Oryctolagus cuniculus: one gene and its partner. The protein of the gene in region 1 purifies or fractionates together with the protein of each later gene. This does not show direct contact. Links are inferred from orthologs where the notes say so. Each region holds a gene or a part of one and is shown in the gene's direction. Other genes may lie near its edges. The genes, in order: AP3B1 and AP3S1.

Region 1 (15,189 bases):
CGCTGGCCGCGGCGGCCATTGGAGGGTGAACCAACGGCAAAGGAAGACCTTTCTCTCTGTCTCTCTCTCTCACTGTCCACTCTGCCTGTCAAAAAAAAAAAAAAAAAAAGAAAAAAAAAGAAAGAAAGAAACAGTGAAACAGTGGAGAGATCTTCCATCCACTGGCTCACCTACACAGGTGCAGGGACCCAAGGATTTGGGTCATCCTCTGCTGCTTCCCCCCACCATTAGCAGGGAGCTGGATTGGAAGTGTAGCAGCCAGGACTAGAACAGGTGCCCATATGGGATGCTGGCACTGTAGATGGCAGCTTAACCTGCTGTGCCACAACGCTGGCCCCCACAGTGCCCCCTTTAAGAGGCAGGCAGAAGGAGGTCTGCGGCAGAGCCGAGGAGGCCATGAGAAGACAGAGCCGGTGAGGATGTTACGCGGCTGCTTGGAGAGGGCAGGGCTGTGAGCCGAGGTGAGCTGTGAGCTGCAGGTGGTGTAGCAGCGAAGATGGCAGGGACCTCCCCACCCCCCGGAGCCTCTGGAGGAGCAGTGGAGCTGTACCTTGGACTGTGTGCCTTGATTTCAAATTTCCGGATTCCAGAACTGCAACAGGATACATTTTGTGTTGCCTCAAACCATTAACCTTGAGGTCATTGTTGCTGAACTCATAGGAAACCAACATAGAAAGCCAGCTCTGTGTTCTGCCATAGGTAACTATTGCCTGCAGTGTTTACTGAAGGATACATTGTTTCCTAACTCATTGGAAATGACAACTTTGTCAGATTGTCAACACCCACATATAGCTGCATCTGTTTCTGTCCATTCCACCAATGAATTTCTTCACCTATATGAGTCAATACCAAACTTGTGGTTTTTTTTTTTTTTTTTTTTGACAGGCAGAGTGGACAGTGAGAGAGAGAGAGAGACAGAGAAAAAGGTCTTCCTTTGCCGTTGGTTCACCCTCCAATGGCTGCCGCAGCCGGCGTGCTGCGCTGATCCGAAGGCAGGAGCCAGGTGCTTCTCCTGGTCTCCCATGGGTTGCAGGGCCCAAGCACTTGGGCCATCCTCCACTACACTCCCGGGCCACAGCAGAGAGCTGGCCTGGAAGAGGGGCAACCGGGACAGAATCCGGCGTCCCGACCGGGACTAGAACCCGGTGTGCCGGCGCAGCAAGACGGAGGATTAGCTGAGTGAGCCGCGGCGCTGGCCACCAAACTTGTTTTTAAGATTGATTTTATTTATTTGAAAGGCAGAGTGACAAAGACAGAGAGAAAGATGGAGAGAGAGAGATTTTTTCACCTGCTAGTTTGTTCACTTCACAAATGACCTCAACAGTCAAGCCTGGGCCAGGCTGAAGCCAGGAGCCTGGAACTCCATACGGGACTCCCACATGGGTGATAGGAGCCCAAGTATGTGGGCCATCTTCTGCTGCTTTCCCAGGTGCATTAGCAGGGAGCAGGATCAGTAGCAGAGCAGCTGGGACTCGAATCAGTGCTCTGATAGTGGATGCTGGCATTGCAAATGGAAGCTTAATCTACAATATCCAGCTTTAACACCAAACGTATGCGTTATAATAACTCTATAGCACATGCAAATCGTGGCTGGGTAAGTCCTTCATCATTCCGCCTCCCCCAATTTCACTGTTACTGGCTGCCTCTGTTCTTCCAGATGAACTCGGAGATTTTGACTGAAAGTTGTGGGGAGCAATCCGGACTAGACTAAGTTACTCAAATTAGGACTTATTCTATGCATCTGCTCTCCCACAATATGGCGCTGGGAGAGAAGTAAACAGCTTCCGCACAGCTGCCTCCAGTTCAACTGATAAACTGTAGGACTTGCTCCTGATTGGAGGAGAGCAGCGTACTCGGCGTGTGGGCAGCCGAGTTGGGATTGGCGGAGGAGGACTATAAAGGAGGAGAGAGACGGCATGCATCGGGAACATCTATGGGGAACATCTAAGGGAACCCGTGCAGCCCCCGAGAGAACCGGCCGGCGGTGTGCCGCTCCCCTGCGGAAGTGGGGAATGTGGCCAGGGGGAACTGCCCTTCCACGGAGGTGGAAGGGATAGTAGCCAACCCGGGAAGAACCAGCAGCAAACCCGGGGAGGGCCGAGCAGACGAAAGAACAGCGCAGGGTCCTGTGTCGTTCCTCCACGAAGAGGGGGAGCGACATAATGGTGCCGTGACTCGGATAGGAAACGTGACTCGGATAGGAAACCTAGGACGGATATGAAACTTAGGAGGGAAGAAATGATTCGGATAGGAAACCTAGCTCGGATAGGAAACCTAGGACGGATATGAAACTTAGGAGGGAAGAAACGGGAAGAAGCAGGAAAATACCGGAGAGAGAGACTAGCAAACAGCCTAGGGAAAAGCCGGACGAAAAGGAGCCGGAAGAAGCTATTGAAAGCCTAGGCATAGACTCGGATACGGACTACGGGGGGAAGCTGGGAGAAATCTCTAAGGTCGAAAGCGAAAGTGAAAGCTAGAACAAACAGACTCGGACGCAGACTGTGGGGAGAGGCCAGGAGAAATGAGGGAGGAATATTGTTGGAGGAAAGTTTGGGGAAACATACCGGGTAGAGAAAAATGTTAGGGAAATTGAAGCCGCGGGGGGCAGGCCAAGGCGGACACGAAAGCCACTTTGGGATTCTCAAGTTAGCCCGGGAATAGGGGGCGAAAAGTTGAAACCAGAAGCTGAGACGTAAGCCAGATTGGGATCCGTCTGATTAGCCCGGGGAGCAAAGGACGGGAAGCCAAACCGTGGGGCGGAGACGTACGCTGGGTTGAATTCGCCAGGCTAGTCCGGGGAACTTGGATTGAATGCTAGTGGTGGAGACGCAAGCTACGCTGTGTTACTCGTGGAAGCCACCGCGTGCAGAGAGAGCACGGGGCGTGAATAGATAGGGAACGGGGCTGGCGTAGGCCGTGGTTCAGACGCGAAAGGGTTAAGCGTGGAGACCGCGGAGCGCGCAAAGCCAAGCCGCGCAAAGCCGGGAAGCTGCGCAGATGAAAGAGGCGCGGGCTGAAGCAGCTCAGCTGGGAAGCCGCCGAGAAGTAGCCTCGGGGCGGGCAGCGGGAAGCTGCGGGGATAAGAGAAACAGAAGTTTGGAAGTGGAGTGAGAGAAATGGGAATGTTGGCAGATAGAAGTAAAATGGGAGAAATAGGAATGCCCGGAGATAGAGAAATAGAGAGAAATAAGGCCTCCCCTCAACATGCCAATTAGAAGGCTTGGATTCGGTCTGCCTGATTAGTGAGGTGATGAGCACCTGGGCGGCTAGCCGCAGGTCACCGAAGACAGGCACGAATTAACATCAGTAAAGCTTCCCCACAATGCAACAATTAGGAGGCTTGGATTCGGTCTGCCTGATTTAAGGCGGTAAGCGCCAGCAAAGCTCGACCAGAGTATGAGCTGCAGGTCACCGAAGATAGGCACGAACCAACACTAATAAGTCTCCCCCACAATAAGGCAATGAGAAGGCTTGGATTCGGTTTGCCTGATAGGTTTTGTAAACACCTGCAGGCAGTTCTAGCAGAGCAGAGCATGCGCTGCAGGGCACCGAACACAGGCACGCATCAGCGCCTAAAAACCTCCTCACAACATGGCGAAGAGAGGACCCGGATTCGGTTTGCCTGATGGATAGGACTTGTAAGAGCCTGTGGCAACTCTAGCAAGTAGAGCAGAGTGTGCGCCGCGGGACACCGAAGACAGGCGCGTATCAACGCTAAAAAATAAAAAGAAAGGGGGATCTGTGGGGAGCAATCCGGACTAGACTAAGTTACTCAAATTAGGACTTATTCTATGCATCTGCTCTCCCACAATATGGCGCTGGGAGAGAAGTAAACAGCTTCCGCACAGCTGCCTCCAGTTCAACTGATAAACTGTAGGACTTGCTCCTGATTGGAGGAGAGCAGCGTACTCGGCGTGTGGGCAGCCGAGTTGGGATTGGCGGAGGAGGACTATAAAGGAGGAGAGAGACGGCATGCATCGGGAACATCTATGGGGAACATCTAAGGGAACCCGTGCAGCCCCCGAGAGAACCGGCCGGCGGTGTGCCGCTCCCCTGCGGAAGTGGGGAATGTGGCCAGGGGGAACTGCCCTTCCACGGAGGTGGAAGGGATAGTAGCCAACCCGGGAAGAACCAGCAGCAAACCCGGGGAGGGCCGAGCAGACGAAAGAACAGCGCAGGGTCCTGTGTCGTTCCTCCACGAAGAGGGGGAGCGACAGAAAGTAACAGTAAACATACAGATTCATTGAATGTTTCTTTTCAGAAACACTGAATCATTTTTTAGGTCTTTCCCTAATCCCTACCTTTTGGTAGAATGTTACAGATTTTTCTCAAGTTAAGTCTTAGGCATTTATTTTTCTGTGGAAGAAGACTCTTTTAGGATTATGTTTCTTTTTTTTAATTTTTATTTTATTTATTTATTTTTTTGACAGGCAGAGTGGACAGTGGGAGAGAGAGACAGAGAGAAAGGTCTTCCTTTGCCGCTGGTTCACCCTCCAATGGCCGCTACGGCCGGCGCACCGCACTGATCCGATGGCAGGAGCCAGGTGCTTCTCCTGGTCTCCCATGGGGTGCAGGGCCCAAGCACTTGGGCCATCCTCCACTGCACTCCCGGGCCACAGCAGAGAGCTGGCCTGGAAGAGGGGCAACCAGGACAGAATCTGGCGCCCCGACCGGGACTAGAACCCGGTGTGCTGGCGCCGCAAGGCAGAGGAATAGCCTAGTGAGCCGCGGCGCCGGCCCAGGATTATATTTCTAATAGATGCTAGGGTGTGTAGGAGAGCTGTTAGATTTTCCGGGTAGCAATCTGCTAAATCCACTTAGAGGCCTAATAGTTTTCTTTGAGATTTTCCGGTGGGACAATTATACACTCTATAAATATCAACTTCTTCTCATGGTTGATTTTCTCTTTCATTTTTCTTTTCTTATTGCATTGCTAGAATCTATGGAGCAGTATTAAATGGTAATTGTGCAATAGGCATATTTGTCCTTTTTTGACTTTAGTTGGAATGCTTTTCATGTTTCTCTGTGAGATAAGGTGTATGTTTTACTGTGAATATTTTGTGGAAGTATTTTTAACATAATATGTACAAAAACCCATGTATGTATACATAATAATGGTAAAATATAACAAGACATCCATACTTATGCTTCTGTATCTTCAGATTCTGCCAATACAGATTGAAAATATTAAATAAATTTTTTGTCATTATTCCCAAAGCACATATTAAAGCAATGATTTATATAACGTTTACATTGTATTAGGTGATATAAGCAATCAACAGGTTACTTAAAGTATAAGAGAGGATGTGCATGGGTAATATGTGAAAAACACACCATTTTATATGAGGGACATGAGTGTGTACAACTTTTGGTGGGGGGGGGGTCTCAACTAATCCCCTCCATGGACACCATGAATATATGTATTTACTCTTATTTCTCAGTTACTAGATACTTCGTTAAATTAGAAGAGCTGATGAAATATTATTAAATACATTTTCTTTTTTTTTAAAAAAGATTTTTATTTATTTATTTGAAAGGTAGAGTTTACAGACAGAAGGAGAGACGGAGAGAAAGCTCTTCCCTCCGTTGGTTCACTCCCAAAATGGTTGTAACAGCCGGAGCTCGCTGATCCGAAGCCAGGAGCCAGGTGCTTTTTCCCAGTCTCCCATGCAGGTACAGGAGCCCAAGGACTTGGGCCATCCTCTGCTGCTTTCCCAGGCGTATCAGCAGGGAGCTGGACTGGAAGTGGAGCAGCCGGGACTAGACCTGGCATCCATATGGGGTGCTGACGCAGCAGGTGGAGGATTAACCTACTGTGCCACGGCACTGGCCCCAACATTTCCAATATTTATTATGTTTTTAAAAAGATGAATTTATTTGAAAGGTGGAGTGAGAGAAGGAGAGTTAGATAGCCTACTACACCACGGCACTGGCCCCTTGCTTTTCATCTAGTGTTTGTTTAGTATTTAGTCTCTTAGTATATTTTTGTATTTTAAAAAAGTGAGGCTTAGGTATGAGCATGCTAATCCTACAAAATCAATTTGGAGGCGTTTTGTCTTTTCCTTTTCAAAAATCCAGTAATAGTTCAATGTAACAAAAACAGGAAACTCCTTATAGGTCCATTAGACCGCCTTGGTTGAGTGCCCTTTTAGCAGTAGAGTTTTAAAAATAATAATTTTTATTATTTATTTGAAAGGAAGAGAAAGATATCTCCCCACTTCTCCAATGTCTGCAACCCTCAGGGCTGGGCCAGATCAAAGCCAGCAGTGAGGCAGTTGATACGGACCTCCACTGTGGGTGGCAGGGAGCCTCCGCTGTAGCCATCCTGCTGTCTCCCAGGTGATGCACCCAGCGGGAATCTGGGACTCAAACCCACGCACTCCAGTATGCAACACAGGCATCCCAGGAAGCCCATTACTGAAGCCACGCGTCCACTTCTGGTGGGAGTTTGTTCTGCAGTGTTTTCCACTGAAATGGAACTGCTATTCAAGCGTCCCTAAAACAGGCAAGAAATCACCAGGACCCAGCCTCCAGCCTTAGCATGGCTAAAGGAACTCAGGGAATCCAGGCAGTGGTGCAACTGGTCCAGGAGAAGTCTCCAGTAACTGATGTCACACGATCAATATCAGTATCCACACCCTCTCACAAGGTCTCTTCAGAGGAATTCAGGCCGGGACTGGAGTGACTACCACCTTCATGTAGTCCCCAGACTCACGGAGGCCCACTCAGCCGCCCTAAACATTCCCGGAAAAGCCAGCATCAGGGAAGGTCACGGCCGGCCAGGAGCCTGGACGGGGCTGAACACGCACCCCTCAGCCTCAGTCTATGAGAAACGTCCCCGTTGACCTCGCGGGGAGCCCGGGAATTCGGCTGCGGCTGTCTGGCGTCTCCACGCTCTGCACATTGCAGATAGCGACCTCCTTCTTCCACTCACCCGTGTCGGCGACTGGCTTTCTGTGTGTGGGGCAAACGGACACAGGTCTGGAGGGTCTATTCCTACTCCTCCAACTAGGGTCGCAACGTGTTCTTGTTCTGCAACACATTCAGGTTTCCTGCAATGTTTTGAGTTGATTTTTATAACCTATACTCTGCTAGAAAAGGAGAAAAGGTGGGGCCGGTGCTGTGGCGTAGGTTAAGCCACCGTCTGCAATGCCGGCATCCCCTAAGGGCACTGGTTCGAGTCCCGGCTGCTCCACTTCCCATCGCGCTCCCTGCTAATGTGCCTGGGAAAGCAGCAGAGGGTGGCCTAAGTGTTTGCGCCCCTTCACCCTCGAGGAGACCCAAAAGGGGGAGGGAGGGAGGGAGGGAGAGAGAGAGAGAGAGAGAGAGAGAGAGACAGACCCTCCACCTGCTGGTTCACTCCCAAGATGGCCCCAATGGTCGTAGCTGAGCCCGCAGAACCCGGGATCCAGGAACTAGGACCTCGGACCTCGCGGCCACCGGGCCCAGCCGGCCCGCCCCGCAGCCTGCGCCCCGCCCCCGGCCCGCCCCGCAGCCTGCGCCCCGCCCCACAGCCTGCGCCCCGCCCCGCAGCCTGCGCCCCGCCCCCGGCCCGCCCCGCAGCCTGCGCCCCGCCCCACAGCCTGCGCCCCGCCCCTCAGCCTGCGCCCCGCCCCGCAGCCGGCGCCCGGAATCCGCCGCGCGCCCGCTCTGCGCATGCGCGGCCGCCGGCAGCCGTGACGAGCCCGGAAGCGCCCGCAGCCCGCCGCGCTCGGGGAGCCGCGGTCCGCGTCCTGCCGGCCGGAGCCCCTCGCGCGACCCCCGCGGCCCCGAGGCGTCGGCCGCCCGGCCCGCGGCCATGGCGAGCAACAGTCTTGCTTACAATGAGCAGGCGGGAGCGGGAGAGACGGCGGAGCTGGGGCAGGAGGCGGCCGCGACCATGTCCCCCTCCGGCGCCTTCGGCCTCTTCAGCAGCGACTTGAAGAAGTGAGGGGCAGGCGGGGGTGCGGGGCAGGCGTGGGTGCGGGACGCGGGGTGCGGGGGCGCGGGGGTGCGGGGCGCGGGGGTGCGGGGTGCGGGGGTGCGGGGGTGCGGGGCAGGCGTGGGTGCGGGGCGCGGGGGTGCGGGGTGCGGGGCGCGGGGGTGCGGGGGTGCGGCGTGCGGGGGTGCGGGGCAGGCGTGGGTGCGGGGCGCGGGGGTGCGGGGCGCGGGGGTGCGGGGCGCGGGGCGGTTGCGGGGCGCGGGGGTGCGGGGCAGGCGGGGGCGCGTGGGTGCGGGGCAGGCGGGGCGCGGGGGTGCGGGGCAGGCGGGGGTGCGGGGCGCGGGGGTGCGGGGCAGGCGTGGGTGCGGGGCGCGGGGGTGCGGGGCGCGGGGCGGTTGCGGGGCGCGGGGGTGCGGGGGTGCGGGGCAGGTGGGGTCGCGTGGGTGCGGGGCAGGCGTGGGTGCGGGGTGCGGGGCGCGGGGGTGCGGGGCAGGCGGGGGTACGGGGCGCGGGGCGGTTGCGGGGCGCCGGAGCGCGGCTGAGCTCGGTGCGGGCCGCCGGGGCGCCCTTCTGGCGCGGGTTAAACTCCGCTGCGGCGGGGGGCGCGCCCTGGGCTCGGTCGGGCCCGGCGGGGCTGCGCCTGCGACCTGTGCCGGACCCCTCGCCGGGGCGAGGAGGCGCTGCGGGCCGCCGCCGCGGCGTAACGTGCAAAGTGAGTTCAGGGGTCCGGACCCCCTCAGGTGGACCCCACCCCGAGTCAGAGACGCTGGGAGGAGTAACAGGGTTCGTTTTTCCTGCCGTGCACTGAGTAAAAGTTTATGTTTAATTGTCTTGGAAGGGCGCGGGGAGCCAGCGAGCTTGGGGAGAGGTCTTCCGTCTGCCGGCTCACTCCCCCCATGCCCTCAGCAGCCAGGCCTGGGCAGGCCGAAGCCGGGAGCTGAGCGCTCAGTGCAGGTCTGCCACGTAGGGGTCGCAGGGACCCGAGTGCTTGACCGTTGGCCGCCTCCCAGGGTGTCATTCTGCACTTAGAGATGGCAGGTTTTTTTTTTTTTTTTTTGGTAAGGTTTATTTTATTCTGAAAGAGTTACAGGGAGGAGGGAGGACAGAGAGAGACGGAGGGAGGAGAGAGAGATGGGGAAATAGCTCCTCTCTGCTTGTTCCCTGGTTGCAGCTGCCTCGCGGGGCAGTCTGAAGCAGAGCCAGGAGCTTCACCGAGGTCTCTCACGTGGCTGGCAGGGCCCAGCTGCTCGGGCCGCCTTCCTCCGCGCTCCTGAATGCATCAGCACTTGGGCCATCCTCCACTGCACTCCCGGGCCACAGCAGAGAGCTGGCCTGGAAGAGGGGCAACCGGGACAGAATCCGGCACCCCGACCGGGACTAGAACCCAGTGTGCCGGTGCTGCAGGTGGAGGATTAGCCTAGTGAGCCGCGGCGCCGGCCGTAGAGATCTTTACTTTTGAGAGCATTGTGGAGTATTGGAAAAGGCCCCAGGGCTAGTGTCAGAAGACCTGTATGTGAGTTATTGTTTTATGCTTGTGCTAGTATTTCCTTGTGCAAGTTGCTTGTTCTTTTCAAACTTTGGTTTCCACATTTCTGGCCCAGGTGTGATGGTTGCCTGGTCTGACGGTGTACTTGAAAGTAATTTCTGATCCAGAATGTTAACCAGCACTGTTGAGGAGAGTTGATGACATTTTGGGCAGGTGTTTGGCACGTGGAGGGAATGGAGAGTGCAGAGTGTGTAGAAAAAAGGAGAATTGCAAAAGAAAATGGTGTTGAGAGAGATTTGGAGATCGACATTTAGATTAGCAGATAATGTATAAACTTGGGAATGGATGCAGTGGCCCTGGGAGAACTTTTCTTGTTAGAGGAGAAGGCAGGTTAGACAAAATCCTAAGGAACACTGCATGTGAGATGTGAATGGAAGAAGAAGGAAAAGACTGAGCTCAGGGAGGTAGGAAACCAGAGGAAGCTTGTTGTTTTGAAGAAGGAAGCTAAGGGGAAAGTTAGAGGAGGCAGTGGTGGACTGTGTGGGGACTTGAACAGTGCAGGGAAGTAGAAGGAGTGTGCAAGAGAGCCCTTGGATTTAATTCAGAGGTTAGCAGCCAGTGGCTTCTTTGTAGTGTCCCTTGAAATACATAGAAAGGTGGCATTTTACTCTGCCAAAGGTGGAGTGTACTTTGCATTTGTTTAGATTCACCTCTTTGGACAGAGGACTCTGGGCTTTCCTGCAGTGGGTATGTTAAATCAATGTCTTTGCATTGCAGTGGTAAAACCAAATTTGTTTTTCTTTTAAAGTTGAATTTTATTTACTGTCAACTTAACAATATCAGCCATGAAAATTAGATCACATTACTGCTTTAGCCTTTAATAGTGTTTCTCAGTGGCACACATTGGAAGATAACTAGTATCTGTGGTCGGTACAGTTAAGCAACTCTTATCTCCACCACTTTTTCTATCTTTGAAGCAAGTATGTTGAAGTGAAGTTGACTGAGATCAACCCATGTAGAGTGATAGTCTTAAAATATAATTTACTGGGGCCAGTGCTCTGGAGTAGTGGGTATAGCTTGGTGTGGCATCAGCATCTCATATGGGCACTGGTTTGTGTCCCGGCTGCTCCACTTCCGGTCCAGTTCCCTGCTAATGTTCCTGGAAAAGCAGCGAAGATGGCCCAAGTGCTTGGGTCCTTGTCACCCAGGTAGGAGACCCAGAAGAAGCTACTGGCTTCAGATTGGCCCAGCTCCAGCTGTTGTGGCCATCTGGGGAGTGAACCAGCAGATAGAAGATCTCTCTGTCTTTCCCTCTCTGTAACTCTGCCTTTCAAGTAAATAAATAAATCTTTTTAAAAATATAATTTACTAAAATAAATTATATTTACATATATAACTTACTAAAAATAGAATCAATGACATCTGGACCAGTTCCAGATGTTATTAATTTATAAATATTGAGGGGCTAGCGCCATGGAATAGCAGGGCTAGGCCTCTGCCTGTGATGCTGGCTTCCCATGTGGGTGCCGGTTTGTGTCCTGGCTACTCCTCTTCACATGTGTGCTTGTGGCCTGGGCGAACAGTGGAAGATGGCCTGAGTGCTTGTGGCCCTGCACCCAGTTACGAGACCCCGAGGAGGCTCCTGGCTTCGGCTCTGGCCTTTGCAGCCATTTGGGGAGTGAACCAGCGGGTGGAGGACCTTTCTCTGTCTCTTCCTCTCTCTGTGGTTCTGCCTCTCAAATAAATAAATAAAATCTTAAAAACATTGCAAGTATTGATACTAACATTGTTATTTTTAAACATTAAAAAGAGAATTGTTTCAGAGGCAGAGATGGAGTAGAGAGAAACAGAGAGCTGCTGCCATCCCATCTGCTGCTTCACTGGCCAAGTGCCCTCTGCTGAGACCGTGCCAGGCCGGAACCAGGAGCCGGGAACTCAGTCCAGCCCTCCTGTGTGGACGGCAAGGGCCCAGCTATCACCTGCTGCCTCTCAGGATGCACGTCAGCAGGAAACTGGAATTTGGAGTGGAGCCATGATGTGAACCCGGATACTATCACGTGGGACGGGGTGTTCCGACAGGCATCTTAACCACTAGGCCTAAAGTCCACCCTTTACCATTGTTTTTGAAATATCTCAAAGAGTCATTGTGTATCAGTATGTTTTTTGTGATTTTTTTGTTTTTATTAATACTAATTAAAAAATTCATTGAAGGGGAGAGACAGAGAAAGGAAGTTCTTAATCACTGATGTATAACAGCTGGGGCTGGGCCAGGGCTCAGTGTGGCAGCCAGGACCACAGTTCAGGTCTCCCACTTGAGTGACAGAATCCCAAACACCAGACCGTCACTGCTGCTGCTTAGGGTCAGCGCAGCGGAAAGCCGAGTCGGGAGCCAGAGATTGAACCCCCGCGCTCTGCTGTGGGGTGTGGTTTAATTAGGGTCTTCATTATATTTCTGGTGGTTTTTTCAGTTTTTAAAGATTTATTTATTTATTTGAAAGGCAGAGTTATATATAGAGAGAAATCTTTAATCTGCTGGTTCACTCCCCAAGTGGCTGCAAGTTTATGTTCACTAGATCTAGGTCTGCACAGTATATTTGCTTGCCATAGATGTAAGTTGGATTCCACTTTGTCATGTACAAAGAGCACTTTACAGGTGGGCAATTTCAGTGTTTCATTATCTTTCACTGAGTAGTGCTGCGTTTGTTACAAGAGGGTTGTTAACAGGAGAGGAAGTGGAGCGTTGGTACCTGCAGTATGTCCCTACCTAGATGAACTGAAGTGGTCCCAGCACATTTATATGATTTTATAATTCTCGGCTTTAGGTGTGTGCAACCCCTACAACTTGTTTCTCACTTTGAGTAGAGTATTCAATAAATTGTGAGGTCTTGAATACTTCTTTATAAAATAGGTGTTGTATTAGATTTACTGTAGGCCACTGTACGTGCTCTGGGCATATTTAAGGTAGATGCAGCTAAGCTAAGCTGTGATGTTTGGTTAGTTGGGTGTATTTAATGTGCTGTGATATTTTCCACTTCCCACGAGTTTACTGGGGTATAACCCCATCATAAGTTGAGGAGCATCTGTAGCTGTTTTGTCTTCATGTAAATAGGACTGTTAGTTTCAAAGGCCCGGATACTCAAAAGTTAAGGACTGCCATTTCCTGTGCAGTAAGGTTCCACGTATAATGTACTTCTTGCCATGTGCTTCAAATAAGATTTCATTACATTGAGCAAAAATTTGATGAAATACTGCCTGTAAGCAGTGTCCTACTTTCCATCAAATAGTAGAAGTGTTCCATTTTATTTACTTTCCTTGCATTTCTTCTTGGAGGAAGGTCATTTCTGGTTTATGCATTTTATCTTAAATACTCAGCTAAGTAAATACTCATTTCTTGATAAAGGATTTGTAATTTTTTGAAATCACTGAAATTTAGAAATCTGAAATAATTAAATTTCAAACCTTATGATTAAATCACAAATGTAAGACAATTTAAAAAAAATATTACTCATTTGAAAGGCTGAATTACAGAGACAGAGATATTGATCTTCAGTCTGCTGGTTCACTCCCCAAATGGCCTCAATGGCCAGAGCTGGGCAAACCCGAAGTCAGGAGCCAGGTACTTCTTCTGGGTCTCCCATGGGGTGCAGGGCCCAAGCACTTCGTCATTCTCTGCTGCTTTCCTAGGCACATTAGCAGGGAGTTGGATCGGAAGAGGAGCATCTGGTACATGAACCGGCACTCATAGGATGCTGGAGTCACAAGTGGTGGGTTTACCTGCTGCGCTGTAGTGCCAGTCCCGAGATGTGTTAGTTTTTTTTTTTTTTTTTTTTTTGACAGGCAGGGTGGACAGTGAGAGAGAGACAGAGAGAAAGGTCTTCCTTTGCCGTTGGTTCACCCTCCAATGGCCGCTGCGGCCGGCGCACCGCGCTGATCCGATGGCAGGAGCTAGGAGCCAGGTGCTTTTCCTGGTCTCCCATGGGGTGCAGGGCCCAAGCACTTGGGCCATCTTCTGCTTTCCCAGGCCACAGCAGAGAGCTGGACTGGAAGTGGGCAACCGGGACAGAATCCGGCGCCCCGACCGGGACTAGAACCCGGTGTGCCGGCACCGCAAGGCGGAGGATTAGCCTAGTGAGCTGCAGCGCCAGCCTGAGATGTGTTAGTTTTAAAAAACATTCAGGATTTAGCAGTTGCTAACACTGAATGATTAAACAAAAAAGGCAGACAGCAGTTGGTTGAAATGTTCTTTTTCACTGCTTACAGAACGATGAATATATTGTAGTGAAATAATTGGACAGCATTGCATTTGTGTTTAAAATGAACTGCTGACAAAAACAAATTGGCTGAGGTCCAAATTTAAAATGTGAAGTAAAGAGAAGAAAGTAGAACAGTGGAGAAGGAAGTGATTCTCCTGTATTTCATGCTTTTATGAGTAACACTGCTTTCTGTGTTTAGGGGAGACTTCCTCAGCGTATCAGCAGGAAAGGTTTTGTAGATCTACAGTGAACAGTTTCTAGTCAGTGAGATCATTTTTGTTTGCTGACAGAAACTGTCCTGCTTCAAAGGTCACCATCCTTAGTCTTTTTTTTTTTTTTTTTTAAGATTTATTGTTTGTTTATTGAAGGGCAGATTTGGGGGCGGGGGAGAGAGAGATAGAGATCTTTCATCTGCTGGTTCACTCCCCAAGTAGCTGCAGTGGCCTGGGGCTGGGCCAGGCCAAAACAAGGAGCCCAGAGCTTCTTCTGGGTCTCAGGTGGGTGCGGGGGCCCAAGCACTTGGGCCATCTCTGCTGCTTCCCCAGGTGCATCAGCAGGGAGCTGCATAGGAAGTGGAGTAGTCAGAACTTGAACCGGTGCCCGTATTAGATGATGACGCTGCAGACGGAGGTTTAACCTGCTGTGTTACAGCACTGGCCCCCTCTTCATCTTTAGTTGAGAGTGGGCTTGTTTCAAAGTCAGAGTTGCAGAGCTGAATCTCCCAGCTTCACGGTCATAATAGATTTTCTCCAAGTTTCTCAATACCTTGGTTAAGAATGTGGAAAAACGGATTGGTGTGTGGTGCAGTTGGTTAAGCTGCTGCCTGTGATGCCAGTATCCCATATGAGCTCCATTTTGACTTCTGATCTAGCTTCCTGGTGTTGCACCTAGGAAGGAGCTGAACATGGCTCAAGTCCTTGGGCCCTTGTACCCACGTGAGACCTTGATGGAATTCCAGGTTCCTGGCTTCAGTGTGGCCTAGTCCTAGCCTCTGCAGCTGTTTGGGGAGTGAACCAGCGGATATAAGATCTCTTGCTTTGTCTCTCCCTCTCTGTCTTCAACTCTGCCTTTCACATAAATAAATAAATCTTTTTAAAAAATGTGGAAGTACAGGGAGGGGAGGAAATAACAGAGTATGATGGCAGACAGGTAAGTAGTAGAGTGGGGATGGAGTAAAGCCCGATTGTGTAGGGCCTTGTAAATCGTTGTAAAAAACTTTGAGTTTTTTTTTTTTTTTTTTTTTTTGACAGGCAGAGTGGACAGTGAGAGAGAGAGACAGAGAGAAAGCTCTTCCTTTTGCCGTTGGTTCACCCTCCAATGGCCGCCACGGCCGGCGCGCTGTGGCTGGCGCACCGCGCTGATCCGATGGCAGGAGCCAGGAGCCAGGTGCTTTTCCTGGTCTCCCATGGGGTGCAGGGCCCAAGCACTTGGGCCATCCTCCACTGCACTCCCTGGCCACAGCAGAGAGCTGGCCTGGAAGAGGGGCAACCGGGACAGAATCCGGCGCCCTGACCGGGACTAGAACCCAG
Region 2 (15,089 bases), on another chromosome or scaffold:
TTTTGAAAGCTGTTAGCTTAAATTGATTATTAAAGAAAGGGAAATTGGTCAGTAGAGACTTGATCTTTAATCTTAGTTTATTTGGATTTTGAGTAAAACTTTGGGGTATTTTTCCTCATACTGGTTTTTCTTTTTAATTTATCTTTAATTGGCAAACAATATATTTATAGGGTACATTGTGAAATTTTGATCTGTGTATACATGGAAAGTTCCGTCAAGCTGATTAATATAGCCATCACATTACCAACTTATAATTTGTGATGGGAACATTAAAAATTATTCTTTTTAAAAAAATTTATTTATTTGAAAAGCAGAGTGGCAGAGTGACAGAGAAAGGGAGAGACAGAAAAAGAGATCTTCTGGGGCCAGCACTGTGGCATAGCAGGTAAAGCTGCCTCCTGTAATGCCGGCATCCCACATGGGCGTTGGTTCTAGTCCCAGCCGCTCCTGTTCTGATCCAGCTCTCTGCTATGGCCTGAGAGAGCAGTACAAGATGGCCCAAGTCCTTGGGCCCCTGAACTCACGTGGGAGATCCGGAAGAAGCTCTTGGTTCCTGGCTTCGGATCAGCACAGCTCTGGCTGTTGGCAGCCAGCTGGGGTGTGAACTAGCGGATGGATAGAAGACCTGTCTCTCTCTCTCTGTCTCTCCCTCTCTTTCTGCGTAACTCTGACTTTCAAGTAAATAAAATAAATCTTAAAAAAAAAAAGAGAGAGAGAGATCTTCCATCTGTTGGTTCATCCCAGGGGACTGCAATGGCTGGGCCTGCCTGGGCTGGACTGAAGCCAAGAGCCCAGAACTCCATCTGGGTTTCCCATTAGGGTGGCAGGGTCCCAGGTACTTGGACCTTCCTCTGCTGCTTTTTCAGGCACATAAGCAGGGGGCTGAATCAGAAGCAGAGCTGCTGGGACTTGAACTGGTATTTACGATGGGTGCCAGCGTTGTAGGCAGCAGCTTAACCTGCTGTGCCAGACTTCCAGTCCCTTAAATTTTGTTAATAGAAAAATTTTATTTAATAAATATAAATTTCAAAAGTACAACTTTTGGATTATAGTGGTCCCCCCGCCCCCCCGTAACCACCCTCCTACCCGCAACCCATCCCATCTCCTACTCCCTTTTCCATCCCATTCTTTATTGAGATTCGTTTTTAATTATCTTTATATACAAAAGATCAACTAAGTGACGATTTCAACAGTTTGCACCCACACAGACACACAAAGTATAAAGTAACTGTTTGAAGACTAGTTTTACCGTTAATTCTCATAGTACAACACATTAAGGACGGAGATCCTACATGGGGAGCAAGTGCACAGTTGTTGATCTGACAATTGACACTCTTGTTTACGGCGTCAGTAATCACCCGAGGCTCTTGTCATGAGTTGCCAAGGCTATGGAAGCCTCTTGAGTTCACAAACTCTGACCTTATTTAGACAAGGTCATAATCAAAGTGGAAGTTCTCTCCTCCCTTCAGAGAAAGGTCCCTCCTTTGATGGCTCCTTCTGTCCACTGGGATCTCACTCACAGAGATCTTTGATTTAGGTCATTTTTTTGCCACAGTGTCTTGGCTTTCCATGCCTGAAATACTCTCATCCAGCCCCTTACATTAAACGTATTCTTCCAGCTGTTCTGAAACACACAGCGCTACTGAGTGCCGCCTGTGGTCACCGTGCAGTAAGTGGGTTGCTTTACCTACTGCCTCATAGAGGAAGCAGCTCTGGTCTGTCGTGTTCGCTGATTTCCAGGATGAAGACCGCCATCACGACCCCCTGCTGTGCGGTCCCACAGTGGCAGAGTCCCACAGGATGGGGTTTAGAGCCGTGCTGGCCAGTGCCTCCTGCGTTCCACAGAGCCATTCCTGCGGTGCCACGGGCCAGAACTCGTTATTTTACACCTCTCTCTACTCTCACTTGCACAAGTACCTAAAAGCACCAGGTGCTGAGCCCTTGGCTGTTTTCTGACACCAATTGAGTGAGTTCTTGGATTTCTTCCTGTTCGGTTTAAATCTTCTGAGGTCTGCCTGATACTTTACGTTCATTTGGCCACTTGCCAGCTTCGTTTTCCTTGTCTTCCTCACCATGGTGGGCTTGTGGCTGAACAGCAGAGACCTGTGCTGGGTCTGAGCCGGAGCTTACTGAGCAGCACAAGTGGAGGCGTGCGGTCTGCTGTCTTCATGGAACAGAAGTCGTGCTTCAGCTGCGCCATCGTACTCCTTGTCTTTACTGCCTTTCGTGTAGGGAAACTGGTATCGGACGGTCTACGTGAACGTGGGTCCTGACGGCCAGCCTACAGACGTGTGCACCCAGCGCACCTGTGTTGGCCTCTCTATTCCAACCACTCTGCTGAGCATTTCCAATACAAAGCTTAGAATTCAGGTGCTTAACAAGGAAATGTGGAACATATTGTTGTAAGTGTGTAATGGTAGTGGAAACAGTCCTGAGGCAGTAGAAGGCCCCGGTGTTTCCTGACTGGGTCAGAAATGTTTTGACAGTGAGGCTACTCGAGCTGTGTGTTCGAAGGTGGTTGCTGAGGAAGGGAGGACGGAGGGTGTTTCGGGGGGAGTAGCGACTGAGGGGGTGAGAGGGGTGGGCGTGAGTATTCTCCCAGGTCAGAGTGGCTGAGCAGTGTTTGTCAGGGAAAGGGAGGTCTGGATTGGGTTTTGGAGGCTGTCTTATGGCATGGTAGGGAGCGTGTATGTTAGGTCAGATGGAATCTGGAGGTATTTAAGAAGGCGGGTGACAAATACTCCGTGTTCTTAAGGAATTCTGCTGACATGTGCTGGACAGTGGGGAACAGGGAGTCAGGTGACAGTGGCAGTATTTTGCTGGTGGTTCTAGTATTTTAAGTAAGATTAAGAATGAAAATCTGAATTGAGACTGTGGTTTTTGAATCCAGCTTTGTTCTTCTTGACATAGAATTAATGGCGACTGAATCAGTGAGGGAAGTAAAAGAAAAGGAGTCATCAAGAGTTTTCTGTGATGGATGCTGCTGCCGTTAACTGAGATTAGAAATACAGTGACAATGAGTTTTAGGAAAAATGGAATGTTTTTAGTCTTTATTATGAGCATTTTTATATAATTGCGTAGAATACTGGTGGAGATGACTATTTAAAAGTGGAAATCTTGAGCCGCTCAGAAGAGTGTCCGTTTCTTTCAGGCAGGAGGTTAAAGCAGGAAACCACCAGGAAGATAATAACCAAGGACAGCATCTGAGAGGGGGAGGTGGGCGGGGACGTGGGGCACACGTAGGAAGGCAGAGGCAGCTGTCTTTGTGTCCCCCTTCCCTAGCAGTGTTGTTAGGAAATGCTGAGTGGGTTCTCCTAAGCTACAGGAAATACTGACTAACTGCTGTGTCCACTTCCCCTTATGAAGAAAACTGCTAATGGCCTTTGAAGTCTCTCTGTATCCTCCTTTCTGTTCTGCCCCTCCTTCGCTCAGGTAAAACCACCGTCCGAGGTTATTTTTAAAGTGGACTAGAGAGACCTGAGAAGCGCTAGCATCCTCAAAGCTGGTGACTTCCAGATGCTTGTGGTGGCGTGGGCTGAGCCAGAGCTGAGAGCAGCGAAGCTGTTCAGGTCCCCAACCTGGAGGGGCAGCATTGCAGTCGCGTGAGCCATCACCACTGCCTCCCAGGAGGTGCATTAGAAAGCTGGAGTCAGGGCCGGCGCCAGCTGCTCGGATGCTACACCCAGTGACACAGCTCCCCGTCTGAAGTCTTTAAATCATTCTCTTGTTCTTGTTTCACTACTTGATTTTTGGCGCTAAACAGTTTTATTGTTTTTTTGCATGTTTTTTGAGCTTTTTTAAATTTTTTTTTTTTTTTGACAGGCAGAGTTAGACAGTGAGAGAGAGAGAGAGACAGAGAGAAAGGTCTTCCTTCCGTTGCTTCACTCCCCAAATGGCCGCTTCGGCCGGCGCTGCGCTGATCCAAAGCCGGGAGCCAGGTGCTTCCTCCTGGTCTCCCATGCGGGTGCAGGGCCCAAGCACTTGGGCCATCCTCCACTGCCTTCCCAGGCCACAGTAGAGAGCTGGACTGGAAGAGGAGCAACCGGGACAGAGTCCGGCGCCCCAACCGGGACTAGAACCCAGTGTGCTGGCCCCACAGGCGGAGGATTAGCCTATTGGGCCGCGGTGCCGGCCAGTTTTTAAATATTAAAACAGTGTGACATTACTAGAATCAACTCACTTCAGTCATGATGTGTTAACTTTTTGAAAAATAAATTCTGGGAGTGGGAGTTTGGCACAGTGGTTAAACCTCTATGTGGGATTCCCACATCCTATATCCACGTGCCTGGGTTTGAGTCCTGACATTGCTGTCCTTTCTAGCTTACAGTTAATGCACACCCTGGAGACAGCAGGTGGTAACCAAGAAATTGGGTACCTGCATCCATATTGAATTCCTAGCTTCAGGGCCGGCGCCGCGGCTCAATAGGCTAATCCTCCGCCTAGCGGCGCCGGCACACCGGGTTCTAGTCCCGGTCGGGGCGCCGGATTCTGTCCCGGTTGCCCCTCTTCCAGGCCAGCCCTCTGCTGTGGCCAGGGAGTGCAGTGGAGGATGGCCCAGGTGCTTGGGCCCTGCACCCCATGGGAGACCAGGAAAAGCACCTGGCTCCTGGCTCCTGCCATCGGATCAGCGCGGTGCGCCGGCCGCAGCGCGCCGGCCGCGGCAGCCATTGGAGGGTGAACCAACGGCAAAGGAAGACCTTTCTCTCTGTCTCTCTCTCTCACTGTCCACTCTGCCTGTCAAAAAAAAAAAAATAAATAAAAAAAAAAAAAAATAAAAAAAAAATAAAAAGAATTCCTAGCTTCAGCCTGGCCCGGTTCTGGCTCTTGTGGGCATTGGGGAGGCCAACCAGTAATAAGTCATCCTTCGCTTTGTCTGTGTGTGTGTGTGTGTGTGTCTATCTTTCACCTGCTTTTCAAATAAATAAATTCTAAAAATTGTATCTCTTCATTGGTGACATTGGCCTATAATTTTAATTTCTGGTACTACCTTGTCTAGTTTGGTATGTTACACTTGCCCTTATGAAATGAATTTGGCATCCTTTTTAATTTCTTTCAAAGTGTTTTCTAGTTTTTCATTATAGAAATCCTATACATACTTGATTAAATTTTTACTGGGTATTATTTTTCCAGTTATTATTATTTTAAATTTTTTTCTGGTTATTATCCTTTTTGGATATGCACAATGCAGTTGTTCCTTTTCTCCACATCAGGTTTTTGAGAATTGTACACGTTTAAGGGTGTAATTAGCTTAGAAGGCTTCCCTGTGTGAGTGTATCACAACATCCGTTCTGTGACTGCGGGCTGTCTTGGGTGTTTGCAGCTTGCTGTCGCAGCAGTACTTCTGTGGACATTCTCCCGTGTCTCGCTGGTCTGAGGGTGCACAGCTTACTCTGTGTGTGTGTCATTGCCGGTACTCAGTAGTTGTTGACCTTCAGAAATCCTGGTTTCGTATGGTTTAGGAGCGAAAGTGCTGGTTAATAAAGTTTTTCCCCAAGTGATGGTGACCACTGGCCCGCACAGTGCTAGGGGGTGGGTGTGCTTGGTGCCACACCTTTGTCCACAGCTGATATTGCCACTGACCAGTCCGGTGTGGTGGAGCCGTCTCCTCGTTGTTCCTGCTGATGAGATTCAGCGACTCTTCCTTTGTTTACAGGCCATGATGTTTCCCCTCTGGTGAAGAGTTTGCTCAGCTTTCTGTTGCATTGTTTGTGAAGTTGACCTTTTTTGCTGGAATATGAATTGTTTGGTTGTTCTAGTAAATACTTATTGAACCAGTTCTTGGTTTAGGTTGTGCTTGTATAAAGATGGGTAAGATGGATGGCCTCGTACTTCAGTCTGTGTTTAATAATGCTTATGTTCAGTTGGATACGCTACACTTTGTGATCATTCTTCCATTCAAATATAGATTAGCTACATGAATTATTTCTAACTCTGCCTCTGTTTCAGTTTACTGTGTTGTGAAACAATGGGCTTTGACTAGTTAATATATAGTTTCCCTTTTTCTAGTAAATGTAATATATGTGTTTTTTTTCCTTGTTGGTTTTTGCAATTTAGAACTCAGTTATTTTTATCATAGTGGTAAACGTCAAAGCATATCCCCCTTTTTTCATTAACAGTGTTGGGTTTTAAGTTGGTTCTCTGAGGACCCCTCACTCACTTAGATGGATTTCCCAGAGATTAATCCCTGTTATTTTTAAAATTGTTAAAGTTCTGTTAAACCTGTACACTCAGTCCTAATGTATGTGACTTGTTCTCCCTCAGAGTGAAGACACACAGCAGCAGATCATCAGGGAGACCTTCCACTTGGTCTCTAAGAGGGATGAGAACGTCTGTAATTTCCTGGAAGGAGGATTGTAAGTAAAGCATTTCATAGACGCTTCTGATTTTTGGACTGGATAATTAAAGTGTGTACTGTTACAGCAGTTCAGTGCAAACGTTTTCTAGTTTTGATTAGTTGAATTAGGTGAGATAATTGCTACCCATGTTAGCTATTAATCTAACTTAAAGAATTTCTTTTGAAGCTGTGCAGTCTGTTTTTCTTTTTAAAAATCTTATAAGGGCATTTTATTTAAAATTAATATGTTCATATTGGAAACATTCAAATGTTCCAGGGAAGAGTAAAATATTCAATAAGGGTCTCCCTCTTCCAGCCTTTGTTCTTCGTCCTGGTTTTACATTTCCTTCCAGAAAACAGATTTTGCACCGACCAGCATTTGGAAGTGTAACCTTTTTACTTCTGAGATCACACTGTGTATGCTCACTTGTTGTTGTTTGGTTTACTTCATCTTAACACTTAGATTTGTAAAAATAATCATTTTATTTTTTGAAAGGCAGGGAGAGAGATCTCCCATCTTCTGATTCACTCCCCAAATGCCTGCAGCAGCCAGAGCTGGCCTAGGCCAAAGCCAGGAGCCAGGAATTCTGTCTAAGTCTCCCAGCATGAGTGACAGGAACCCAGGTACTTGAGCTCCTGATAGTTCCACTGCTGCCCTCCATGGTGTGCGCTAGCAGGCAGCTGGAACTCGGAGCAGAGCTGGAGCTGTCACCACACGCTCTGATGCAGGACACAGGTGTCCCAAGCATTGCTTTAACCGTGGTGCCAAGTGCCTGCCCCTGTGTAATGTTTTAACAAGTTCTGCCTGTGAGTACGTCTAAGGCAGCCCTTACTCTTTTTTAAGACTAAAGAGTATTCCTTAGGGTAAATGTCCATAAAAATTTGGATTGTATCTTTTATTATTACAAGTAAAACTGAGGTTTATTTATTTATTTTTGACAGGCAGAGTTAGACAGTGAAAGAGAGAGAGACAGAGAGAAAGGTCTTCCTTCCGTTGGTTCACCCCCCAAATGGCCGCTACGGCTGGCGTGCTGCGCCGATCCGATGGCAGGAGCCAGGTGCTTCTCCTGGTCTCCCATGGGGTGCAGGGCCCAAACACTTGGGCCATCCTCCACTGCCTTCCCGGTCCACAGCAGAGAGCTGGCCTGGAAGAGGAGCAACCGGGACAGAACCAGCGCCCCAACCGGGACTAGAACCCAGTGTGCCGGCTCTGCAGGTGGAGGATTAGCCTAGTGAGCCTTGGCGCTGGCCCTGAAGTTTATTCTTCTAACGTTTCTGTCTTTGCACTATGTACAGATGAGAATTCAGCTAAAAGATTTTTTCTATTAACATTTCCATTACTTATAATTAGCTTGCAAAATATATAAGTAAATACTTCTGAATTAATGGATTCCATGAAAGTAGTTTAATTCTAAATGTTTTCATAAATGTTGCCTCTTCTTTTATATAATTAATATACTTAATAAGATAGTTCCTTATTGATATTTAAAAATAAACTTCAGCTGAGATTTGTAAATAGTCACAGATTAGAGAAATTTGTATTTTTCTGTATTTTGTGTATGGTGCATGTTATGAAAACTAGGTCAGATAGCAGGGAATCCATTTTTACCTGACTTTAAGTTACTTTTTATCATGTGTAGTTCGTTGTGTTTCTTAAGTTCTATCCTACTGCACTTAAATGTATGGTTCACACTTAAAATAGGTATAAATTTTGTTACCAATGCAGGCTTCTGTTTTAATAGTCGAGACAAATGTACCTGCTTCTGACTTTGAATTTCACTTGTACCTAATTCTCTTAAGTGTCTGTTCGGGTTTAATAGTGTTTGCCTTTACTATCACTTCTTGTCATCCCAGCCTCTTAATTTCTTCCCTCCCAGGAAATGTGTCTCCTAGCACAGTATATTGCATGCAGTAGAAAAGCAAGATGGAGCTAGCTAGAGTACTGTTTAAACCAGAAATCAGGGCCTGGAGTTATGATTATTCTTTCCCAACTTTTTATTTTATTTTATTTTTTTTAGTTTTTTTTTTTTAGTTTTTTGAAAGGCAGAGTGACTGAGGGAGAGGAAGAAAGCAAGGAGAGAGAGTTCCTCTGTCTGCTGACCCAGTGCCCTGGGTACCCTCACCCGCCTGGCCAGGCCAAAGCTGGAAGCCAGGAACTCCCTCTTGGTACTTGGAGGGCAGGAACCCAAGAACGTGGGTCCTTATCTGTTGCCTCCCGGGTATGCACATTATCAGGAAACTGGATCAGTAGCAAGGCAGGATTCCATCGCAGGCAAACACCTGCCCTCCAACCTTTTGAAAAGTAGAAAATAGATATTGCATCTTAGTCAGTCTCAGTGTTATCACCATCAAGTTTGTGTCCCTGGTCCAGTCACTTTAATTCTTGAAATTCAGTTTTCTCCACTAAGATAAACTATTTGGACTGAAGTTTATGGTTTTATATGGTGACTTACATTCCGTACAAGAGTTTGGGGTAGTGTTATACTATAATTTCAAGATAAAAATTCTTAAATACTTTTTAAAATTTTATTTGAGAGACAAAAGATCCACTGGTTTTCTCCTCAAAGACTTACAGTGGCTGGGGCTAGGCTGGGCTGGGCTGAAGCTAGGATCCAGGAATTCACTCCAGGGACCCAATTACTTTATCCATGCTTGCAGCATCCTAGAGTCTGTGTTAGGGAAAAGGTACCCTTGCTGTGGTAGTATTTTTGCTGTCTTCTGTTAATGTTAATGGCTGTGTTGGAACAGCTTTCAGAGGCCAGGTTTCCTCCTTTTAGAGGAAAAACTCAAGGTCGTTGCTGAATTGCTGTTTGTGAAAGCGCTGTCTGTACTCTTTGTATCTCTTTAGAGAAACAGTTGCAATCATAGCCCATAAACATGATTTCAGAATCTTTGAAGTGCATGTGTATACTTTTAAGTTAAATACCTTTCCCAAAAAAGTATCTAACATAGTAGGAACTTTGGTTTCTTGTTAGGGGACACAGATGTAGTGCATACACAGAGAAGGTGGGAGCTCAGGGGTTAACTTGACTCAAATGAGAAATGATGTCTAATTCCATATGAATGTTTGATTAGCTTTGACAACATTTAACGTTACTTTCTAAATTGTTAGTGTGTAGGGGTCTTTTGAGAAGGCAAGCTCATAAACTTAAAAAGTGTGAAAGCTTAACTATATTTAAATTCCAGTCAATATAAATAAAAGTATTTGATGGAAGAACTGAGTAATAACTTAATTCTCTTGCATTTGTACTCAAAACAGCATATGTTTTTGTAGGCGACCTAGATGGTAAATCTGTCCCAAATTTAAGAACTTTCATTCTTTTTTTTTCCTAGTTCATAATCAGTCTTAAGCTGTGTAACTTACTGTGACCTGTGGAGTTAAATCTAGTAAGCACTTGCAGACGCCCTCTGTCCTAATCTCTGCTTCTTCTGACCTCACTGTCACTAATCTCTCCTTGTCTGCTGGCCTGCCTTTTCTTCTACTCCTTCTCGCTGCAGTGCCCTTTTGTTAGTTGCACCTGGCGCTGACATGCTCTTCTCTGAATCCCTGAGGCCCACGGCACTCTCCTCATCTCCCTCACCTCCCGGCTGAGGAGGCCAGCCCCTCTGGAGGCCTCGCCCTGCTTGGGTTCTCTGTGTGGCACCTTCCACTGACAATTTTCTTGTTAGTTGCTCTGTATCCATCGTCAGTGCTTGACACATAGAATTAATCACTGAATAGTTTAACGAATGAGTGAACTAAAATTAAGCTTTTTACTTTGTCTCTAAAGAAAATAGCTGTCTTAATTTGCTTAGTCTCAGAAGTAAGTTCTCTTGAATGCTTTGCCACTAAATGTTATGTTTGGTTAATAAAAGATTTTTAAACACATTGTCAGTTTGCTTGAGCTAATGAAAATGTTCTGTGTTTTGTTCCCTATAACATTTCACTTGTTTTGTTTTGTCATTTAGATTAATTGGAGGATCTGACAACAAACTGATTTATAGACATTATGCAACGTTATATTTTGTCTTCTGTGTGGATTCTTCAGAAAGTGAACTTGGCATTTTAGATCTAATTCAAGTAAGTTAACATTTGCCTCTTACTGTCTTAAATAACAGTTTGGCATTTATATTTTTAAAAACTTACATTTTCTAAATTTTCTAAAGTGATGTTTTGTTTGGTAAGAAAGTGTCCACAGTAGATACGGGGTGGATCAAAGAGGGACAGGGGATGTAGAACAAGTAGATGGGGGCCGGCGCTGTGGCTCACTTGGTTAATCCTCCTCCTGTGGCGACGGCACCCCATATGGGCGCCGGAGTCTAGTCCCGGTTGCCCCTCTTCCAGTCCAGCTCTCTGCTGTGGCCCGGGAGGGCAGTGGAGGATGGCCCAAGTGCTTGGGCCCTGCACTCGCATGGGAGACCTGGATGAAGCTCCTGGCTCCTGGCTTCGGATCGGCGCAGTGCCGGCCGTAGCAGCCATTTGGGGGGTGAACCAATGGGAGAGAGACCTTTTTCTCTCTGTCTCTCTCACTGTCTAACTCTGTCAAAAAAAAAAAAAGTAGACGAATTTAATCTGATTTAGACCAGTTATGACTAATTCCATCTGTTCCCTTCTCTTTCTTCGTGTTTCCTGAAAACCTTTCGTGACGTCCTGGAACTCCAGGGCTGTGATGAGCAGACTCCTCCTTGTCCTTAGCCTCTTCCATGCTGCTCCACTTTGATCCACGTTAAATCCTGCCTTCTCTGTTACACCACTTCCGGCACTCTCAAGAAGTAGCTCTTTGCCCTCTTGTTCTTTTTGGTTTTCACTGGTTTTTCCAGAACGGGTTGTCTCCTGAAACATCTCCACATTTTGTCTCATGTTGTCAGCTCTAACTCCTACCCATCTGCTTGTGGTTCTCTCTCTACCTTCGATCCTTTGGCGGTTTCGTCAGGAAATCTTATCCAGCTTGGAAGCCGAAAACTTGACCTTTATGATTAGCAACGTAAGCATTAGCCACAGTAAATAAAAAAATAGCACATGAGCCAAAGTACAAGCATTTGAAGAGGGGCACACACTGTGGGTTGAGTTATGAGTGAGGAACCCTGACCTTAGAGAATTGAACTCTTCTATAATTAGCACTGTTTCTTTTTTTTTTTTTTTAAGATTTTAATTTTTTTAAATTTGTAGTTTTTGGCAGATTCAGTGTAGTTTGCAGATGCAATTCTAGGATTATAATGCTATTCCCCTCCTCCCTCACCCCTCCCACTCTGTCTCTCCTACTCTCCTCCCTCTCCCTTTCTTTCTTCACTTTACTGGTTTTTGAGATAACATTTCAAATTTACATTACAGTACACTGTCTTTGCTTCCTGGGGGAAAGTAAGCCTATCCATAGTGTGCTTGCAAGGAGAGCCCAGAGCAGAGACCACCATGCCTCTGCTCACAGTCTGTGCAGGAATACCCCACCCGTGGAGAATTGTCGCCCACTGGACTTTGGCTCTTAGTTTACCGACATTCACTGCCCTGTTGGAATTCTTGGTGATTTCATCGTCGATGTATGTAATTCTCTCTATCCTGACGTTTTTAGGCCTGCATCTCCTCTCCTGTGAGTTTTGCTCTCTACCCCTTCTCACTGCTCATTTCCACACCGTGCTTTTAATCCAACTGAGTTGCCTCCCTATTCTTATCTTCACACCTTCCTTCCTTTGTGTACCACTTCTTTTTGTATTATTTGTGGGGAGCAACTCGGACTAGACTGTTACTGGAATTAAGACTTATTCTATGCATCTGCTCTCCCACAATATGGCGCTGAGAAGGGAGTAACAACTACACAGCTGCCTCTCGCCAACTTGAGTGATGACCTGCAGGAGCTGATCCTGCTCCTGATTGGAGGAGAGCAGCGTACTCGGCGTGTGGGTAGCAGAGTTGGGATTGGTGGAAGAGGACTATAAAGGAGGAGAGAGACAACATGCACCAGGGAACACCTGAGAAGCACCTGTGCAGCCCCCGAGAGAGCCGGCCGGCGGTGTGCCGCTCCCCTGCGGAAGTGGGGAAAGTGGCAGGGGGGCCTGCCCCTCCACGGAGGTGGAAGGGTCGGTAGCCAACCCGGGAAGAACCAGCAGCAAACCCGGGGAGGGCCGAGCAGACAAAAGAACAGCGCAGGGTCCTGTGTCTTTCCTCCGCGAAGAGGGGGAGTGACAATTATTCTCTCTATTACTATTATTACTTTCTATTACTATTATTATTATTATTACTATTACTATTATTATTCTTTGTATTATTCTTTCTATTACTCCCAACAGATTTTTGGACCTGTTGGGATCCACAGTTTCCAAGTGAATGTCTTGTCTTTCCTGATGTCTGACTTTGCTTTTCCGGCTTAAATGCCATCGTCACTTGTGATTCATGATTGTGACCTTGTATACGCTTATCTCCTTGCCTGTGCCGGCACATACGAAGATACCAGTGGAAGAAACTGTCACCATACTTGCTGCTTTCACTTTAAATTCATGATCTCTACCTTAGCCGGTCCTTAATGGTACCTGGAAGTCGTATTTCCCTGGTCCATGTACTTTCCATCTGCCTAGATGACTTATGCATACATTGTCTCAGTCCTTTAGCACTTAGCACCTTGCTTGCTTCCTGGAGAAACAAATCAATCTGGAGAGACTGTCCACGGCCCCCATGGGTGCATCTGTGCCCTGAGATCTGGAGAGACTTTGCACGGCCCCCATGGGTGCATCTGTGTCTCTGAGATCTGGGGACTTTGCACGGCCCCCATGGGTGCATCTGTGTCTCTGAGGTCTGGGGACTTTGCACGGCCCCCATGGGTGCATCCATGTCTCTGAGATCTGGAGACTGCATGGCCCCCATGGGTGCATCCGTGTCTCTGAGATCTGGAGAGACTTTGCACGGCCCCCATGGGTGCATTTGTGCTCTGAGATCTGGAGAGACTGTCTAACGGCCCCCATGGGTGCATCTGTGTCTCTGAGATCTGGGGACTTTGCACGGCCCCCATGGGTGCATCTGTGTCTCTGAGATCTGGGGACTGTGCACGGCCCCCATGGGTGCATCTGTGCTCTGAGGGTGCACTCACGTGCTCCTAGCTCAGGCCGCCTGTGCGCTCACACGTTCGTTTCTGCTTCCTCATTGCTGCAGCAGCCCTTCTTTCTTTTGTGTCATCATTTTTTTTCCTGTCTTCTAGATCATTCCAAGCAGCCTACAGTAGTTTCCCACCTTAAAAAAAAAATCCCGTCTGTGCTTCCCTCTGCAGCCACGCCTCGTTTCTCTCCCTTCCTTTACAGAACGCTTTTGTAGAACGTGTAGAGCTATCTGAAACTTTGTTCTGGTGTTCTCTCCCCAGTCCATTCCAGGCAGGCTTTCCGCCCTTCTCTTCATGAGTCCAGGGTCCTGTCAGCCTCCTGTGTTTGATAAGGATTGTTGACCTCTCCTCTCTGCCGTCTTCACTTGGCTTCTAGAACTTCCCTGCCTGGCTTCTGTCCCATCTCTTTAGTGACTGCATTTTTCCCGCTGATCTGTCCTACCTGTAAATGATCACGCCTCCGGGTTCCATCCTCGCTCAGCTGCCTTGTTTTTGACTCCATTCATCTCCGTGCTCTGACCCAAGTGTCATCTGTACACTAAAGATGCAGACTGGAGTCCTCAGCTCAGACCTTTCCCCTTAGCTCCTCACCAGGTCACCCCATTGATTCGTGGGCGTCTCCACTTGGGTGTCTGATACAGACCTAGAACTTAATGTGTCCTGAGCGAAGACCTGTGCCTCCCACGTCGGCTAAAGACAGCTTCACTTCTGCGGTGGAACCTGCTGGTGCCTGCTATGTGACCTTGCCTCTCGTTCTCTGCCCACCACGTCTGCTGCCTCAGCACTTCCTGTTGGATATTTGGCATCTGACCACTTTTTTTTAAGGATTTATTCATTTATTTGAAAGGCAGAGTTATGGGGGGGGGGGGGGAGGAACAGAGAGAGACCTTCCATCCTTTGTTCACTCTCCAAATGGTCGCAATGGCCGGAACTGGGCCATAGCCAAGCCAGGAGCCAGGAGCTTCTTCCGGGTCTCCCATGTAGGTGCAGGGGCCAAGCTCTTGAGCCATCTTTTGCTTCTTTTCCCAGGCGCGTTAGCAGAGAGCTGGAATGGAAGTGGAGTAGCCAGCTCTCAAACCGGCGTCCATACGGGATGCTGGCACTGTAGACGGCAGCTTTACCCACTATGCCACAGCACCAGCCCCTTCTAACCACTTTTGTACCCTCTCTCCTGTTGCTGCTGCCCTGTTCATGGCCACCGTCAACTCTTGGCCTGGTTACTGCAGCCATTTCTTGGCTGGTCTCTCCTTGTGCTGTATTTTTTCTCTTTGGTCTGTCTCAGTGCAGTGGCTGGAGTGATGCTGTTAAAATGTGCCGCATCTTACATTTTTCCGTTCTGAACTCTTGAGTGGCTTCCGTTTTCACTCAGAGTAAAAGCAGAATTCCTTACAAAAGATCCCTGAGAAGCCCCATGCGGTCTTGACTGTCGTTGGCCACACCCGTTACTTATCTTCTCTTGTGCCCTTTGCTTAGCCTCCTTGCCGTTCCTCGGGTATACCCAGCACACGTGTGCCTCAGAGCCTTGGTCCATGCTGATCCTGCACCTGCAGCGTTCGTCCATCCAACAGTGTTCTCCACCTTGCCTTGAAAATGCTCCTTCTCTTGGATATTTTCTAACTCTTTCACCCTAGTATTTCCTCCATAGCACTTATCACCATCTAATATACTATGTAGTTAATTTAGTTCATCTTATG

The links.
Region 2: the proteins of AP3B1 (region 1) and AP3S1 fractionate together in Homo sapiens (co-fractionation; 5 studies listed by BioGRID and IntAct, counting the BioPlex papers as one, with this or other methods). This does not show direct contact. The link is inferred for Oryctolagus cuniculus from reciprocal best matches to the Homo sapiens genes AP3B1 and AP3S1.

The regions. Positions count from the first base shown.
Region 1 is NC_091445.1:2,316,859-2,332,047, reverse strand, and holds the start of AP3B1 (AP-3 complex subunit beta-1), read left to right. Parts: upstream 1-7,668; 5' UTR 7,669-7,798; coding exon 7,799-7,926; intron 7,927-8,614; exon of another isoform or gene 8,615-8,633; intron 8,634-15,189. UniProt on the Homo sapiens protein: Subunit of non-clathrin- and clathrin-associated adaptor protein complex 3 (AP-3) that plays a role in protein sorting in the late-Golgi/trans-Golgi network (TGN) and/or endosomes.
Region 2 is NC_091437.1:6,067,672-6,082,760, forward strand, and holds part of AP3S1 (AP-3 complex subunit sigma-1), read left to right. Parts: intron 1-6,261; coding exon 6,262-6,353; intron 6,354-10,282; coding exon 10,283-10,394; intron 10,395-15,089. UniProt on the Homo sapiens protein: Part of the AP-3 complex, an adaptor-related complex which is not clathrin-associated. The complex is associated with the Golgi region as well as more peripheral structures.